Drosophila melanogaster: one gene and its partners. The protein of the gene in region 1 interacts with the protein of each later gene in a pairwise test. Each region holds a gene or a part of one and is shown in the gene's direction. Other genes may lie near its edges.

Region 1 (8,318 bases):
TTTATACAGTACCAGATGTAACGAATATTTGAAATAAAGACGTTCGAGTAACAACGTTTTAATACCTTCAAATTGTAACGAAATGTTTCCGAAGTTATGTTTATTCGTTCGAGGCTAAACACATAAATCAAAAACAAACGCGGACAGCTTTTCTAGGTTTCTTTCTTGCCGAAAGGATTGATTTTAGACAGCCAACTGGAAGAGGGGGAGGATTCCCTGGAATAAATCATTGGTTAGGAAATTCATTACAGAAGTATTTGTGACTTACAGCTTTGTAAGCGCTTCGATATCCGAATCCTTGTGTTCGACCGACGATTCTGCTGCTAATGCATCCGGCTTCTCCAGCTTTCCCGCTTCGCTGATCCCCGCCTGGCGCAGCTGCTCGATAAGCTTTCCGCGGAACTCCAACTTATGCGGCACCACCTTTTCCGCTTCGCGCAGCTGCTTTTGCAGCTTGCGTATGGCCTCCAAATAGGTATGGCCGTACCAATCGATTTCCTCGGGCGTATATGGTTCCAGATAGCGGCGGTATTCCTTAAGCACTTCCTGTTGGCGTTCGGGCTCGTCGGCGAGGGCTGGAACACCGTTCTGCAGGGCCTGAAGCACCTCTCGCTTGAGTTTCAGAGCCAAAGCGGAGCGAAGATCGCAGGCACGATTCTTGAGGAGGTAGTGATCAAAGCCATGACATTCATGGATCTGCTCCAGCGTGCGTTCCGTCACCACCACGGACATGTAGCAGTCCAGCACATGACTATGGACCACCGAACGCCTAAGATTTGGTACCCAAAAGTGCGGCACGCGACGCTTTGTTTGCTCGCGTTTCTGAAAGCCCTTGATCACGGCCTCGCCACCCCAGATGCCACGGTGCGATTCCGGCGTATCGATCAATGGCAGCGGGATGTTCTGCACCGGCTTGATGGCGTGCGTCACCTCATCTCGTTCCCACTGCTGCTCCTTGGGGATATAATGGACCGCAGCCGGGGTCGTCAGCTTCCACTCGCGCCAGAACTTCCTGTACGCCTCGGGCAGCTGGGCTCCCAGACCCTTGTCAAAGCGACCCGGACGCTTCCATCCGTTTAATAGCTTTACGCCCTGCAGAAGGTTTAAACGCTTTGTTATTCCATGGGGTTTACGAAAGTTAACGCAGCTATTGCGTCACAGAAACGCGGCGCACTACCAGTTTCCTCTTTATTTTTGAGGCAATCACATACCTGTGGCGTGGCGTGTGCCATTTTTTAAGGAACGAACTAGCAGTTTACTGTTATTATTCACTATTAAAACTATAGTGGCAGTTTAAACTTGGCTATTAAACTATATTTTCCCTGATTTTGGCTAGGCCAACGGCGCTCTTCCTCTTCCTGTTTGGAAAAAACAGCTGTTCGTATGTGAATGGCTGGCAGCCAGGGTTGCCAGGTTTGAAAAGTATTTCGGAGACAGAGCTTCGTTCAATTTAGTTTTGTGAAATTTAGAAATGCTCGGCAAAAAATTGAGTTTCGAAGTAGTTCAACTTATTTATTATAATCAATATATGAAACAGTGCGCCAAGCCATACTCCGGCATAAGTACCATTCACGAGTAGCAAGAAATAAATTTATGCTGTCGGCAATTAAAATCGAAAAGCGGCTTACTTTCGCTATCAGAATGTAACATGTAAGTTACTAATGTATTAACAATTAAATATCCTTGAAAGAAACGCGATTTATTTTGACTACGTATAAAGCTTTTAGCAAATGCAATTAATTTTTTGGAAATTCTCACGCGGTTAGCCCAGCCTTGTTCAACCTGGCCTTAATCGTGTTTATCTTGAGCGGCAACAGCTGGAGCATTTCACGCACAACACCAATCTCGCCCTGCAGCGTCTCGGCCGCCTCCTTGTGCAGCTGGCAACCAGCATCGAATCTCTGGTAGTAGGTGTGGCAACTAGTTAGGTGCTCCAGCTGCTGGAGCGGATGGCCACTGATCAGCTTGTAGTAGATGCGACCGATGTGGAAGTGGGCGTAGAGCATGTGGCGTTGCTCCTCCACGTCCATGTTGGGTCGCCATTCCTCGCTGGGCGGTTTGACCAGATAGGATTTGACATAGCTCTCAAAGTGCTTGATGGCCTTCATACAGCTCTGATTGACCTTCTTGATGTCCTCCGGCGCTGGCGTGCTAGTGGCCCGAATGATGTCGAGACGGACATCCATCACGGCAGCATGAGCTGTGCCGGCTCCATACCAGCATTCTCGGCATATCTTCATGTAAAAGATGGGGTCAAGCAGATCCAAAAGATCTTCCAGATACTTGGCGCGACGCTTTTGCATCTTGGCCTGGTTTTCTGGATTCTCCTCGAAGAAGGCAATGTGCTCATACGCTTCGGCGTAATCCTGCATTATCTTTGAATACTCAGTAGCTTCGTTCTCGGCCTTGTAATAGTCCTTGGCTATGTCGAGCCACTCGTTCACAAAATGAAACACCAACTTGGCATCGTCGAAGGTCAGGCAGTATTCACAACTAATACGATTTTCACACGCGGTGAGGTCAAGTCCAGGAAACCGGGACTGTTCCGCCTCGACCAGCCGCATATTGCGCAGAACGATCTCCAGGTTCTTGGCATCCTCGTCATCTTCGTCCCGCATCAGCCGAAGCTTGGATGTGTTCATTAAATACAATCCATATTTGGCCCAACAGCGTGCCACATCGGCGTAGCGATGTTTAAAGGTCTCCGACACGTCCTGGCGCTGCTTCTCGCTCATCTCCGGCTCCAGCATGTGCACCTCATATTCGGCCATGATGAGCGTAGCAGCGGCCAGGTGATGACGGGCCTCCTCGAAGCGCTTCTCTCCAATATAGAACTGTGACAAGGTGGCGGTGTTCAGTGCGAAATCAATGGGATCGTATGTTTTTGACTCAAGCTGTCGATGGAGGGTGCGATGGCAGCACTTGGCCGACTTTTCCGGCTCACCCAAATGCCCGTACATTTGCGCCATGTAAAATGAGACTAGCGTGTACAGGGATTCCAGTTCCTTGGGACCAGCTTCGTGAGATTGTTGTCCCTCCTCCGGAGGATTGAACACATCTTGAATGGCCAGGGGCTTCAGACCACTGGCTTTGAAGTCCTCGTAGATTTTTTCTGCCTCCAGGAGAATTTCCAGTCCCTTATTGTACTCTTCCTTGGAGGCCAGCACAATGCTAAGCTCGTTGATTGCCCCAATGAATGGAATGATGCCCTCAGGGCACTCCTTAAACGGCGTGACTAGTTCCAGACAACGATTGAGCATCTTTTCGCCCTCTGCCTGCTCCTCTGTGTAGATGTAGATCCTGCCTAGATCCCGGCAAACGAAGGCCAACAGAGAGTGATAGCAGCGATCGTCCTGACCACCGTCCTCCTCGCTGGCCTGCACAGATACCAGTTGGTCGTCCAGCTGCTTCTTCAAGACAATTAGCACATCGCGCGCTTTATAATGGGAGCGGAATGGATCCGTGGGCGGATCATTGCGGCTCTCCTCCTCCACCAGACGGTTGGCCTTCTCGTATAGCTCCTTGAAGTCGCTTAGGATCTCCTTTGGAATGACCATGTTGGCTGAGCACCCACGGTGCAGGCAAAAGCTATCCTGAATTCGGCAAAGCCTTTTTATTTACTATATTTTTTCTCTATGAGTGTGTAGTGTGGCCGTATTGTGACTGCTTAAACTTTACCTGAGACCCAAACCATGAAAGAATATTTTATTTAAAATCTCAAACTAAATTAATTTGAACTATGTACAAGTAAGGTATTTTCAAAAAGTACATAACACAACCATAAACGCCTCTAATATAAACTTGAAGGCATAAAATGTTTATATAAACAAAACAGCTTAGTGTGACCGTTGCGCAGCAACCTCTATGTCGCAACCCTGGAATTAATTGCTGGTATTATAACGTATTCGATTACAGTCACACCGCATCGACTTTCAGATTTTTTTCGCGTCGCAAATTTTTGGAATATACCAAAATATTTACCACCATCAGCTATTAAAGACTGCTTTTGGCGCTCATCTTTCAAAGAATACTTTTCCACAAATCAGACAAGCTTCATCCGAAAGCGGGCACAATGCTGAAGGGTTACAAGACGGATGAGGACAAGAAGGTGAAGCGACTGTACCACCAACGCTATCGCACAGAGTGGGAGAAATATCCGGAGCTCTCCAGCTGGCTGGCGTCTAGTAATGACGGTTACTCGGCGCACTGCAAGATCTGCGACATCAATGTCCTCGCCAGACTAGCGTCCATCAAGCAGCACCTCGCAACGCGGAAACACCAGGAAAGTTTCAAGTACCACAACATTCTTGCCAAGGTGGGATTGGGTTTGTGCATAAGCAATAGGAATGACCCGTGTCCATTATTGATTCAAATATTTTGCGATCCAAACTAAATTTCAAACACGATTTTTGTGTGAGTTTTCGCCATACTTTTCGTTAACTATTCCATTGACTACTTCTTGTGCAATGGTTAACCAAACCAGTAGCTCCCTCTATGCGATGCACAACTTATCGCTCCAAAAAAAAAATTCTCATCTCATTACTAATTTACATAAAATTAACAACTCCGTATTTATACCTACAGAATATGATTAAGGGTGAACTTGTCAAAGATGAGCATGACCCAGACTTGGAGGCCTCCATAATTTCACCCAAAGCAAAGCCCAAAGCCAAATCAAAGACCTATCCAAGGCAAAAGCCAAGGAGCAAAATGCAGCCAAAGATCAAGAACGACACGAAGGTGGAGAGCATGGAGGAGGAGACGGAGGAGGACGAAATCGCCTCGAACGACTCAATCCTGGATGATTTACTCAGAACAGATCAGCCCTATCAAGAGCAAGAATTTGAGGTTGAGAACGAGTTCCTCGAAGTACAACAGAATGAAACAGATCTCCAGGACCAAGAGGTGGTCTACGAGGAAGAGATGATACAGCTCAAGCCGGAAGATACGGAGATTAATAACGAATACCAAGTCGACGCGATGACGGAAGACACCATTATTAGTGAATTTGACTTGTTTGGCAAGAGTTTGGCTCTGCAGCTGAACAACATGGACCTGGAGGACGCACTAATGTGCCAGGAGCGTCTGCAGGTGGTCCTAACGGAATTTCGCCTGAAGGTGCTCAAGCGCAAGAGAGAGCAAGCACGATCTTCGTAGGCTTACAATTTATATCAAGCTGTCTTATGTACATAATATAATTTCTTTAACAACTAAATAAATAACTATTCTGCCTCAATTTCGTCAATTAGCGCCCGGCACTTTCTCTTCAATACCTTGACCGCCTCCAGGAAGATGACATCGGGCTTCAGTGCGCCGACTGATTCCACGGAGAAAATGTAGTGATCTCGGATACGGGCCAAAGTCACAGCGTCGTTTAGCTGGGGATAGCGATACACATTTCGGCTGCACGTGTCGTAGCGTGCATCCTTTACATAGGCAGTTTCATTCTCGTCAATGCCAATTACTCCTGGTGAGAAACAGTTCTGTAATAGGTACGCATCCTTACCGGTCACCTCGCGGTTCAGCTTAATCATGGGCAGCAGTCGGTAGGTGGCCGTGGCCACCGGCGAGAATTTCGCGTGATCCCGTCCAAGTCCCTTAACCGCCACCAGGCGCAGATCCAACTCGTGACCCGGACGCAATTGGGCAATCAGTATGTCATCGTGAATGCAGTTCACAGCACTCTCGCTGTATATCTGCGCCTGCTTTCCTTTGGGCAGCCACTTCAGATGACCCGAGTACACTTTGTGGTTTTTGTAAATGTCATCGAAGTTGGACTGATCTTTTCCAGCATCCCGTCGCCGCGAGCACTTCACCTTCAGCTCAAATTCAAGCGTATCCTGCTCGGTCCCCGCCTCAGTGCTTTCCTCGGTGCGGTATGCGAATAGACGGGGATCAGCCCGCAACGGAAGTAGACCCATTCGATGGGCAAGTACCTCGTCCTGGATGATCGAGGTGTTGTTGTATATGTACACCTTTTCGATGGCCATGCTGGGCACATCGCTGAGCATCAGGCGACGGAAGGCATTTGCAATGGCGGGATACACGCCAATCAGATCGAACTCCAGGCCGTCTTCGTCGTTTCTAGAAGTGAACACCAATTGTTAATCGACTCGTAAGATTCTAATTTCTATTGAGATTTACCTGACGATTTTGATGTGCAGCTTTTCCTTGAAAGCCTGAACGGAAAATACATCGTCCGCCAGTCCATAGTCCTGCGGATCCTGCTTCACCCGATACTCCTCCATGTACAGAAGCGGCTCCTTGCGATTTTTGCTTGCCATTTGCCCCGGTGTTTTTATTAAATAATTTAACAAAATTGAACCGCACGTGTTGGAATCAATAAGACCGCCTTCTAATACCAAAATATACCAAACTAACTAACAAACTAACTAATATACTAAATAAATATACTTTATGTACTAAATAAATGCTGTTTCGCCGTGACTGGCTGAATAGGAAGAAGCAGCAGGACACCGGCGATATTTTTATTTCTCCAGAAGATTTACGTAAAGCCTTCAAATTTCTGAAACCGGGCGTAAGATGTCCCGCTCCCTGCAACGCTTAGTGGGCAGCTGTCGTCGCTGGGCACAACAGCCCGCAATTCGTCATTATGCCGCTCCCGCAGATTCCACTAAAGGCAAGGGTCCGATCTCTTGGAGAAGTCTGGCCGTCATTGGAGCCCTTGGAGCCGGAGGAGTGGGCTTCATGCTGTACGTGAAGAGCGAGAAGGATGAGGCGAGAATGAAGGAGCGTCAGCGGCAATTGGGAAAAGCAGCCATCGGCGGCAGTTGGGAATTAGTTGATTCGCAGGGAGCTGTTCGCAAATCGGAGGACTTCTTAGGCAAGTGGCTGCTCATCTATTTTGGCTTCACCCACTGCCCGGATATTTGTCCCGATGAGCTAGAGAAGATGGCCGCCGTCGTCGATGAAGTTGGTAAGTAGAGCCTGACTATTTCTTCCAAACCCAAAAAAAACCATGTTTCTCAAACCTTCACAGAAAAGTCCCCGCAAACGCCAGCAGTGCAGCCCATCTTTATCACCGTTGACCCAGAACGTGACTCCAAAGAGGTGGTGGCCAAATACGTAAAAGAGTTCTCCCCCAAACTGCTGGGACTCACGGGAACCGTCGAACAAATCCGCAAAGTGTGCAAGGCCTTCAGGGTTTATTTCAGCGCTGGACCGCGGGACGAGGACAACGATTATATTGTGGATCACACCATCATCATGTACCTGGTCAATCCCGATGGCGAGTTTGTCGATTACTACGGCCAAAATCGGGACAAGGACCAGTGTGTGGCATCCATTTTGGTGAACATAGCCAAGTGGAATTCAATGAACAAAAAGGGATGGTTCAGCTAGGCTGGCTAAGCTAGGCAAATGTTGTTTCGTTGTATTTACTTAATGTATGGCATAAAATATGGTTTTTACTTGATGTATATCAAGTTTTAAATCCAAATTTTCGTTTATATTGGCTATACCTTAAGTTCTAGATTGTAAAAATTTCTGGTTGTTCAAAATAAACTTGATTAACGGTATTTTTTAGATCCCCCTGGTATATCGAAGTGAGATTTTGACTAGGCCACGGTCACACTGCTCTTTTGGCGTGTAGTGCTGCGTGGATGTTGTTGCAAAAATATTCGTTTTCTCGCAACAAATAACAATATAATACAAAATGGTGCGTGCCTGGTCAATGACTACACAGTTTGCATTATTCCGGATGGGTTTCTTTAGAATTTACCCGAAATTACAACTATTTGCAAAGTGTGAAAGTCGTGTGAAATTCCGGACCAAACATAACCTTAAAAGCGGCCTAAATTGTTGCTAAAAATTCGTATTATTCTGTCTTTTATAGCGTCCGTTGATGCTTCAGGGCCACGAGCGTTCCATAACGCAAATCAAGTACAACCGCGAGGGCGACCTGCTCTTCTCCTGCTCCAAGGATCAGAAGCCCAATGTGTGGTACTCGCTGAACGGAGAACGTTTGGGCACCTACGATGGTCACCAGGGTGCGGTCTGGTGCCTGGATGTGGACTGGGAGAGCCGTAAGCTCATCACCGGCGCCGGTGATATGACCGCTAAGATCTGGGACGTCGAGTACGGCACCGTTATCGCCTCCATTCCGACCAAGTCATCGGTGCGCACCAGCAACTTCAGCTTCTCGGGCAACCAGGCAGCCTACTCAACGGACAAAGCGATGGGACAGAGCTGTGAACTGTTCCTCATCGATGTCCGCAACGCCGATTCCTCGTTGTCGGAGCAGGAGCCCACACTCCGCATCCCGATGACCGAGTCCAAAATTACGTCGATGTTGTGGG
Region 2 (3,302 bases), on another chromosome or scaffold:
AAGCACTTGCTCTATAACCGGTAAGTGGATAGGTTTTGAACATTTTATCATATTTGAATTTTTAATCCTTGACTGCCCATTTGCAGGTTCAATATCTTCAAATCGGAATACATACAGAGGTCTCTCTTTGAGGATGTGAACGTGAATAGTTGCTTCGGATTTACCCGGCTTTGCGATTTATCTGTGGGAGATATGGTAGAAGTAACTTTAAATGGACTGATAGATTTGTGAGTATTCCTATACCCTTTACCTGTAAGTAACATGTTTATAATAGCAAAATTCGCAAATGTCGTGCTCCTTTGTTTGATAATAACAAATGGTTAAATACTTACAATACTTACGTTTGTTTTTCTACAGTCTTTTGCATTATCGAAGAGTTTTGGAGAAATACCCACTGCTGGCCTACCGTCGCTTTTGGTGGAAAAAGCAGCCGGACAGTAGATATCAACTGCTGGAGCCGATGTTGGAAAACAAACTAGCTCTCGACTATATGCCACCAAACAGTGTCCTTAAGAACTTCATATTCACAGCAATGGTATAATTATTTATATTTATAAATTTTTATTCGAACAATTTATACAATGATTTATGCTTAAAGACCGCCAACGAAAGCAGCGTTTACGCATTTGGCGATTACTTTACGTACAATATGCAGGAAACTATCGAACACCGTGTAATTCGGTCAAAGATTCTGAAGAAGAAAACGTCGCTAATCGAGGAGATGGAGGATGTGTCCAAGCAAAAGCTGGAAATCGAGTCTGTGGAGGTGCAAACAAAGTCGAATGCCAAAAGCGATGTTAAGGTGACGACGCTGCTGCTGCTACCAGAGTTTCCGCATCGCCCACGAAAGCCAAGAAAATACGTATGCGAACCGCTTTCCATGCCACGAATACTTTACGATTTGGGACAAAAAGTTCAAGCTGTGCATAGATATTTATAGTAAGTTTCAAATGGATTCATCGAAACCGATCCAGGTTTTTAACTTTTTTTATATCAATTTTAGCTGCGATAGTCGATCTGCAGCGTGGTCCCAGATTCGCCACAATCAGTGTGAGAATAGCCAGGGCAGGGAGCTTGTCTCCAGTGGATTGGCCTTGTGCAAGCCTCATGGTGGATGGTCCTCGATTGTGGTGCCCGACAAGGAAACCCTGATTACCGATGCTGGTAAGCTTTTTGTTCTTGACAACTTGCTAACTCGATTGAAGGCGAATGGACATCGAGTACTCATATACTCGCAGATGACCAAGATGATAGACCTGCTCGAGGTAAGTTTATTAAACTTGAAACGATCACTGTTCAGTTTAATTTTTTGATAAAATGTCTAGGAGTACATGTGGCACCGCAAGCATCGCTATATGCGCCTGGATGGCTCAAGCAAGATATCCGCTCGTCGCGATATGGTTGCCGATTTTCAAACGAGAGCAGATATCTTCGTGTTCTTACTGTCTACGAGAGCCGGAGGACTGGGAATTAATTTAACAGCCGCCGATACGGTGAGTTCATATTATACTTACTTTTTCATTTATGTATATTGATGTACAATATCAATTTTTTTTACCGTGCCTTTCAAAAAAGTTTGTCCCTTGTTTCGATTTCGTTTAATTTTTTCTTGAAATCACATTGTGAATTTATATTAGTGCCTTTTAAAAACTTTTCACTCATACGCTCTCCGAAATTTCTATTGTATTAGTCAAATCCATTCATTTTCAACAATAACTTTAAGTAGTCCAAATTTCAAGTTCATTTCAAATGCATAACAACAGCTGTTTAGAACCCATGGACAGGACCAAGACTACGAAACTTCCTCAGCTCAAGTCCAGCGTTACTCCCTACAGACCAAAGCCGAACCTAATCCGTAGTGATTCCCCGAAATTAGAGAACGATAAGCGTAATGGGCTGGACTTGGAGCTTCTGGATAATCCAGAGATACCGAGCGTAAAGCGAGTACGATGGGCTCCGATGTATGGGGAAAGGAGCCCGAGTAAGACCGGCTTTACCAGCGTTCCACTAAGCTCCAAAAAGGCGCAGTTTGATCATGATACGACAGATGAGTTAATACTGGCTAACGAGCTTCGATTAGCGGTGCATCGTGGGGGAGGTTCCATAGATCCCGACAAGAACTACGAGCTGAGGGCTCGACTGTCGCCCTTGCAATTGCCGTACAGTCGAGTGCAGCGAATTCTGAAGGAGTGCGAGTTGAGCGAGAGGAATCATCACACCTATAGTATACCCATGGACTATGGGCGGCAATTGGTTGCCATGGTTTGCAAGATCAGGACGGATAATCTCCCCGAACTGAAACTTCGCTTGGCCTCCTTACTGCGGCAAAACAAAGCGCGCTTCTTCAATCGACATTTATTCAACGAAACTGGCTTGATTGAGGCCACATTGCCGAGCGTAACACCATTAAGCTTTGAGGAATTCAATCAAACGTTGCGAATTGATGCTTTGTGGTGCAAAGCCACCGATAGTACCATTACCGATTTGGCCAAAGGATCTGTTTTGTTCAAATGTCGGCCTCTGGACCTGCAAGAGGTCGCGTACAAACTCAGGCAGTGCAACTACAAGATTGTACATAAGGAGGTTGGACACTGTCCAAACAAGCCGCTCGTCGAGTTAAATGATCGTCAAATGGCCCGCTATCAGGAGTTTCGTAAAAACCTTCTTCAAGACATAGATGTCGTAAAGATCTATGACAATGTGCGTGTCCAGTAGTTCAAGTCAGTTCGGCAAAAATCACAAGTAATTTTAAATTATCAAAAGTTTAAATTATCCGTAATACAAAACTCTTAATGACCCTCTAGAACTTTATCGTATAAACTATTTGTATAGTTTATTGTAAAGAATGTTTTCTCTATTTTTTTTTAAAGTGTGTTTTGATCAGTACTCTATTCAAGTACGAAAAATAGCCATATGTTTTCACATATGAGAGCGTAATTATAATTGGGACTGCTTTGAGTAGGTACTCAAACGTCGAATATATAAGCGGTGACTAATTTGGAAAGTCAAATAAATTTTAAATATAGTACTATGACTTCTTCCAAAATGTTTTATATTTTTTCATATGCAGGCTTAGCTCTTAGTTCTCTACATTATAGTAATTGTTCCCCATTCATTTGATGATTTATAGACAGGTTTGGGACAATATTTTACACGTCAGTATAGAGAGAGAAATTCCTTTGCCATTGTCCCGATCTCGGTGGCGGAAAAACCCTGTGTGGCTCTTGTATTCATTTGCTAAACTACTTGTTCATGCACTGCGGCAATCGATGGTGAATCTTGAGCAAGGGGTGGTGACGGGT
Region 3 (4,934 bases), about 12 Mb from region 1:
ACGTGCTGTCAAAGCTAAATACATCAAGAATGACTTCGAGTGGTGGTTAAGGCTGCGAAAAACATCGAAAAAGTTCTGCAAAGTTGGGGCATAGAAGCGACAAAATAATGAGGACAGCGAAATTATTCCTATTCCATTTTTAAGGGAATATACAGTTATTAAAATAAAATATTTTCATACCCAACTTTACTTGGTTAGTCCAAATATTTGTATAGCCCTTTAAGGAGTTTATTATGTTGTAACTTGGATAGAATGGATTCCAGAATAGTTCCGGAAATGACTTGAAACTGTATTTCCGGCTTTCACATTTAATTTACATTTTAGCGTGGACACCTACCGCAATGGTTTGGTTATATGCTAACGCTTTCCTTAAGCTCTTGTAAAAGTTTTGTAAGTACTAGTGTTATACGGAGATTTTGTTAACAATTTCATTGAAGTATTTACATACGTAAGAATTTCAACAGAAATGTATCCTCCCAGTCGGGTTCATTTAAAAGGATTAACGGTATTTTGAAAAATAAATTATACAAAAAGATTTACAATCTATAACGTAGCTTAGAAAATGAATTTCAATTATCATTTTATTATATATTTTATAGAAATTGACTTGAATAATGTGGTGTCCATTGCAAAACGGATTAGCAGGACTAGACTTATATTACGAGTCATTTTTCGATTCTCCCACTTATGTATATTGTTCAATTGACCTTTGATAATACAAAATTGCCTAGATTTCAAATAATATTACGTATACTAAAATTTATATATGTATGAAGTTGTTAGCCAGTTTCTTTCTTTTTTTTTCCATGAAATATTGAAATCTTCCTTCCGTTTTGCTTTGAAGTTCAAGTTATTTATTATTTGTTGTATTCTGCAAACAGCTGTTTGCATTTCGGCCGGCGTCGCAAAAGCAACAATTTTCAACCGCGTAAAGCTTTTGGCCTCTTGAGCCATAATTTCATACAGGTTGCAGGCTTGGAAAAATAACTCAATCTGGACTCACCTACTCACTCTCACTCTCTCCCTCTCCCTCTTCCAACCTTTCCTTTATTCACTCACTCTCCCACGCGATTTTTGGAACAAAAACGACGGCAGAGGAAATGCAGCGCAGTCGACGCCAAAAGGGATATTTTATATTATATATTAAGCCCGTCCTTAAATATGAATTTCCCAATCCTATTCTTATTCAAATTATAAAATGTATATTTAGCTTTAAGTTTAAAATATTGTTAAGTCGTACTCGGCTTCATTACGTAAATATCTTATTCATATAATTTTTGTACACGTAGTGTCACATGATAGAGTAATCAAATAAATGCATTTGGTAATAAGCTGATCTTCTGGACATTCAAATAACTATGCTCAAAAACCTTGCTGGCCCTTGATTCACTTAATAACTCAATTTTAGGACTTTCAGTGGGTGGAAATTTCCCTGGCACCCACGCAAACGAACGGGTTAAAAGATAGTGAAAAAGAGAGAGCGCACGAAAGCAACAATTGCTTACTCTTATGCACAAAGAAAAAATACTAACAACTTCAATTTTTGCATTGAATTACATAGAATTCGATAGAAAAGCCCAGGTCAAATAAAAAATTAAAACAATAATTTAGATAACGACTTATTTGATGTTAGATATTAGATTTAATTCGGTTAATGGGTAAGTTAGAAGAAATAATGTAAATTTTTGCATTGCAATAATGAAGCAATGAAACAAGCTTTACGTTAACGTCACATGAACTACCGTTAGCGAGCGAACAGTGCAGAAAGCGCTCAAGAGCGCGGAGCATTCCAATGCGTTGGAGTAAGAGCGTGCAGAATTCGTGGGAGCAAATTGGCGCCCGAATCAGCCGCTTTTCGTAACTCACTCAATGCGAATTGTTTTCAAGCGCCGGAGAGAATCTATATAGAGGGGCTTCTCCGACTCGCTTCGAATATGTTTTTCGCAGCGCGCGCGTTCGCATCGGAAAATCAGAAAAGCTGGCAAGCGTTTAAAAACAAATTCGGCAGGTACAATTGTTACTTGTTTTCCCCTCAGTTGACTATTTCGTCGCAGGTTTTTGGCCAGCGGAAACCATCGTAATAACCGTTTATCGTTATTTTATTATATTCGCGTAAATCGTTGTTTGTTCAACCACAGAATACTTGTTGTTACGCATTTCGAAAATGGAAATGCGAAAATTTCCAAGCAGTGAAAATCAAAACGAATAAAATATATTGGCTGCTTTTCGTGTTTAGCGCGTACGTGTGTGTTTCTGTGTTAGTGAGTGCAGCAAGAAATAAAACCAAAAAGCAACAAATAAATAAATAGAAAACAAAAGCAAAATCAAATCCAAATTCAAAGGCAAATACTTGCAAAGTAAGTTGATAATATCAGAGTGTGGTGCTAGCATATGTTGCATTATTTTGCCCAGCAATTTACATGTTTTTCACATTTTCTTCTCTCACAAATGACAACTAACTAATATGGATGATATTAACGGTGTTTAGAGTTGGCTTTTCCATTGAGAAATATGAAAAAATGCGTTCAATATGTTAGCGTACACACACACACAAGCGGCGGCTAACTGTTGTTTGTGTGTATGTGGGTGAATTGGCAATAACGCGCACGTGTATTAGTGTGTGTTTGTTTTTGTTGCCTTTGCGGCCAAGTGGCAGCAAAACGTTGCAAGCAACAAAAACAATAACTACGATGGCAAAACAAGTGCAGTCAGCAAAACCAACTCAACCAGTGCCTCTCGCGCTCTCCCACTCTCTCTCTCTCTAATACCCAAGCCCACCTCCTGCTCCCACACTCACCCTTCTCCCTCGCACCCATTGACGCAACTGCATGGTCAGGGCTTCTTTTACTGTTACAAAGCTCATGCGTGGACCCAATAGCAAAATGAATGCACGATGTACTTAGTTCATTAATTCCGCCAAATCAGAAATTATAATTATAAATGTACGAGTTTAATGGATTAAAGTTAGGTGTACGTAATTTTTTTAATTGTATGACCACTTTGGTGAAGCATAACCGTGGTATGAAGCTATTACAATTTCATGAACTTGGCGGCATAAACTTTGCAATTTACTATCTATGGTCGTCTTTGGATTTTTGGCTTCGCGCTTTTTGCTCTTCGAAGTGCGCTGCTCTCTTTGCGCCAAACAAAGCTCGGCCGACACTTGTCGCGTCTTTTGGATATCTGGCCTCCTCCCACCGCCCACTGCCTCTTTACATATATCTTTTACATTTTTTGCTTTCATACACTGAATAAAATTATGGGTATATACCGTACTATCAAATGTTTCTGAGTAAAAATTAATTTAAATAAAAAATTTAATTATATAATTATAAAATTATTATATAATCACTTGTATTTAATGTTGTATGTGTTGCAAATCCATTAATACTTTTAAACTTCTAGGCTTAAAAACAAATGTCTGTGAAAAAAGTGGAATTCTTGGAAAGTGTATCTCTTTGGCTTTTCCACCTCGAGGCGTTTTCGCTTGAAGCTTTTGCGAGTTTGGTTCGATTTCCATTTGCGTTTAATTGCATTTATGCATTTTTAATCGAGTTTGACTTTGGTGAGCTTTTTACTTTGGCATATGCTAGATTGTCGCCCAGACACACGGGGTTTTTTTGGGTGAAAATGGGCTCTTGCTGATCCAAAAGATAAGTTTCAGTTTCGTCCTTCTTGGTAGTGAGATGTTTGGACAAAGTTTTCTAATTGGCCTTGACGCCGTTTTCAGAGTTTTAGTGCTACTAAAAGGCAAGAGTGCGAACTTTCTGCGTCTTTAATAAGATAATTTATTTGCAATTATAATTTGGTTCATTAAAGTTAATTGAATTAAGGGCAGGCGTTACATTCCAACCAAATGGAATGACAATGGGTGTGGGGTTAAAGATAAAAGGATTTTAGTTAGTGAGGAATATATTTTGTGATAATAACGGGTAATTAAATTTTTTTTTATTTTAAACTGAACCGCTATTAGGCAATTTTGGGCATTAAATAGTTAAAAGCTTTAGATACACAGTTTCAATGCGGTATACAAAACTTCATTAATTTTCGATTAATCTAGTATTTTTATACTATAATTTAAAAACCTTACGTCATTTATTGTTTTAAATCAAATTTTAAATTTAAATATTTTAAGATATTCCACTTCTCCAAAGAGGTTTTTTTCGAACAATTTTTAACTCACAGCCAACAGCTGTTGCATCCTAAGCAAACATTTGTATGTTTAACTTAGTCCTCTTGAAAGCTCAATTAAAGTCGCGTGTATAACCGCCCACTACCCAGGGATTCTCTAAACTTCTACACTCCGAACACACACGCCAAGTTTGCAACTTGGCATATGTTTATCTGCTAATCATGGAAATGCGATGCGGTGTTGCAAAATATTTATCTAGAAACGGTTGACTAAAAAAGAGGGAAATAAGCGAAACAGCTTTTCAGCCAAACTGCAAATGGGAAAGCAGCCCCCTTACCGGTTTCCCACTTTTCCGGCACGGCGACCATATGCCAAAAAGCTGAACCAAAAATCGCACACACATTTGGGGATAAAACGCGATGCGAAAAAAGCATAAGTAGGCTGCTGTGACATTTCGTTGTCTGGGTATACGCTCATCGCGAACAAGGATACAGGAGCATTAGGGTGGAGCAATTTGTTCGAAGCTAAATATAAAAAACTTCAATATTGATTAAACTTGTTCATGCATATAGGACTTAAACTAAGTAAAGATCTGAACTAAAATTAAGTGCTTTTTTTTTAATAGAAGAAATATTAAGATCAGCTATTTTTGCGGACTGTTGATTTCCTTTTAGCGCTTAAACCTTTATAAGAATATACTTGGCATTTCAAGACTTTCGTAAATTCAGAACTTGGCTTAGATTGACGCACCCTGATAAAAGCACACTTATAAAGGCACACATTTGTATATCCGCACATCGGC

Evidence for each region.
Region 2: the proteins of l(2)05714 (region 1) and CG31244 interact in a two-hybrid assay, tested with the Drosophila melanogaster proteins (one large-scale study listed by BioGRID).
Region 3: the proteins of l(2)05714 (region 1) and mtgo interact in a two-hybrid assay, tested with the Drosophila melanogaster proteins (one large-scale study listed by BioGRID).

The regions. Positions count from the first base shown.
Region 1 is NT_033779.5:4,967,051-4,975,368, reverse strand, and holds l(2)05714 (lethal (2) 05714), read left to right. Parts: upstream 1-3,883; 5' UTR 3,884-4,072; coding exon 4,073-4,315; intron 4,316-4,584; coding exon 4,585-5,157; 3' UTR 5,158-5,222; downstream 5,223-8,318. Other genes in the region: mRpL28 (mitochondrial ribosomal protein L28), read right to left, coding at 153-216, 269-1,092, 1,212-1,232; CG14043 (uncharacterized protein), read right to left, coding at 1,755-3,557; Polr1C (RNA polymerase I and III subunit C), read right to left, coding at 5,223-6,084, 6,145-6,284; Scox (synthesis of cytochrome c oxidase), read left to right, coding at 6,544-6,937, 7,001-7,362; eIF3i (eukaryotic translation initiation factor 3 subunit i), read left to right, coding at 7,676-7,678, 7,856-8,318.
Region 2 is NT_033777.3:19,396,930-19,400,231, reverse strand, and holds CG31244 (uncharacterized protein), read left to right. Parts: upstream 1-1,664; 5' UTR 1,665-1,749; coding exon 1,750-2,715; 3' UTR 2,716-2,802; downstream 2,803-3,302. Other genes in the region: INO80 complex subunit, read left to right, coding at 1-20, 87-227, 358-535, 599-939, 1,004-1,265, 1,326-1,493.
Region 3 is NT_033779.5:16,543,082-16,548,015, forward strand, and holds the start of mtgo (miles to go), read left to right. Parts: upstream 1-1,934; 5' UTR 1,935-2,357; intron 2,358-4,934. Other genes in the region: CG31816 (uncharacterized protein), read left to right, coding at 1-94.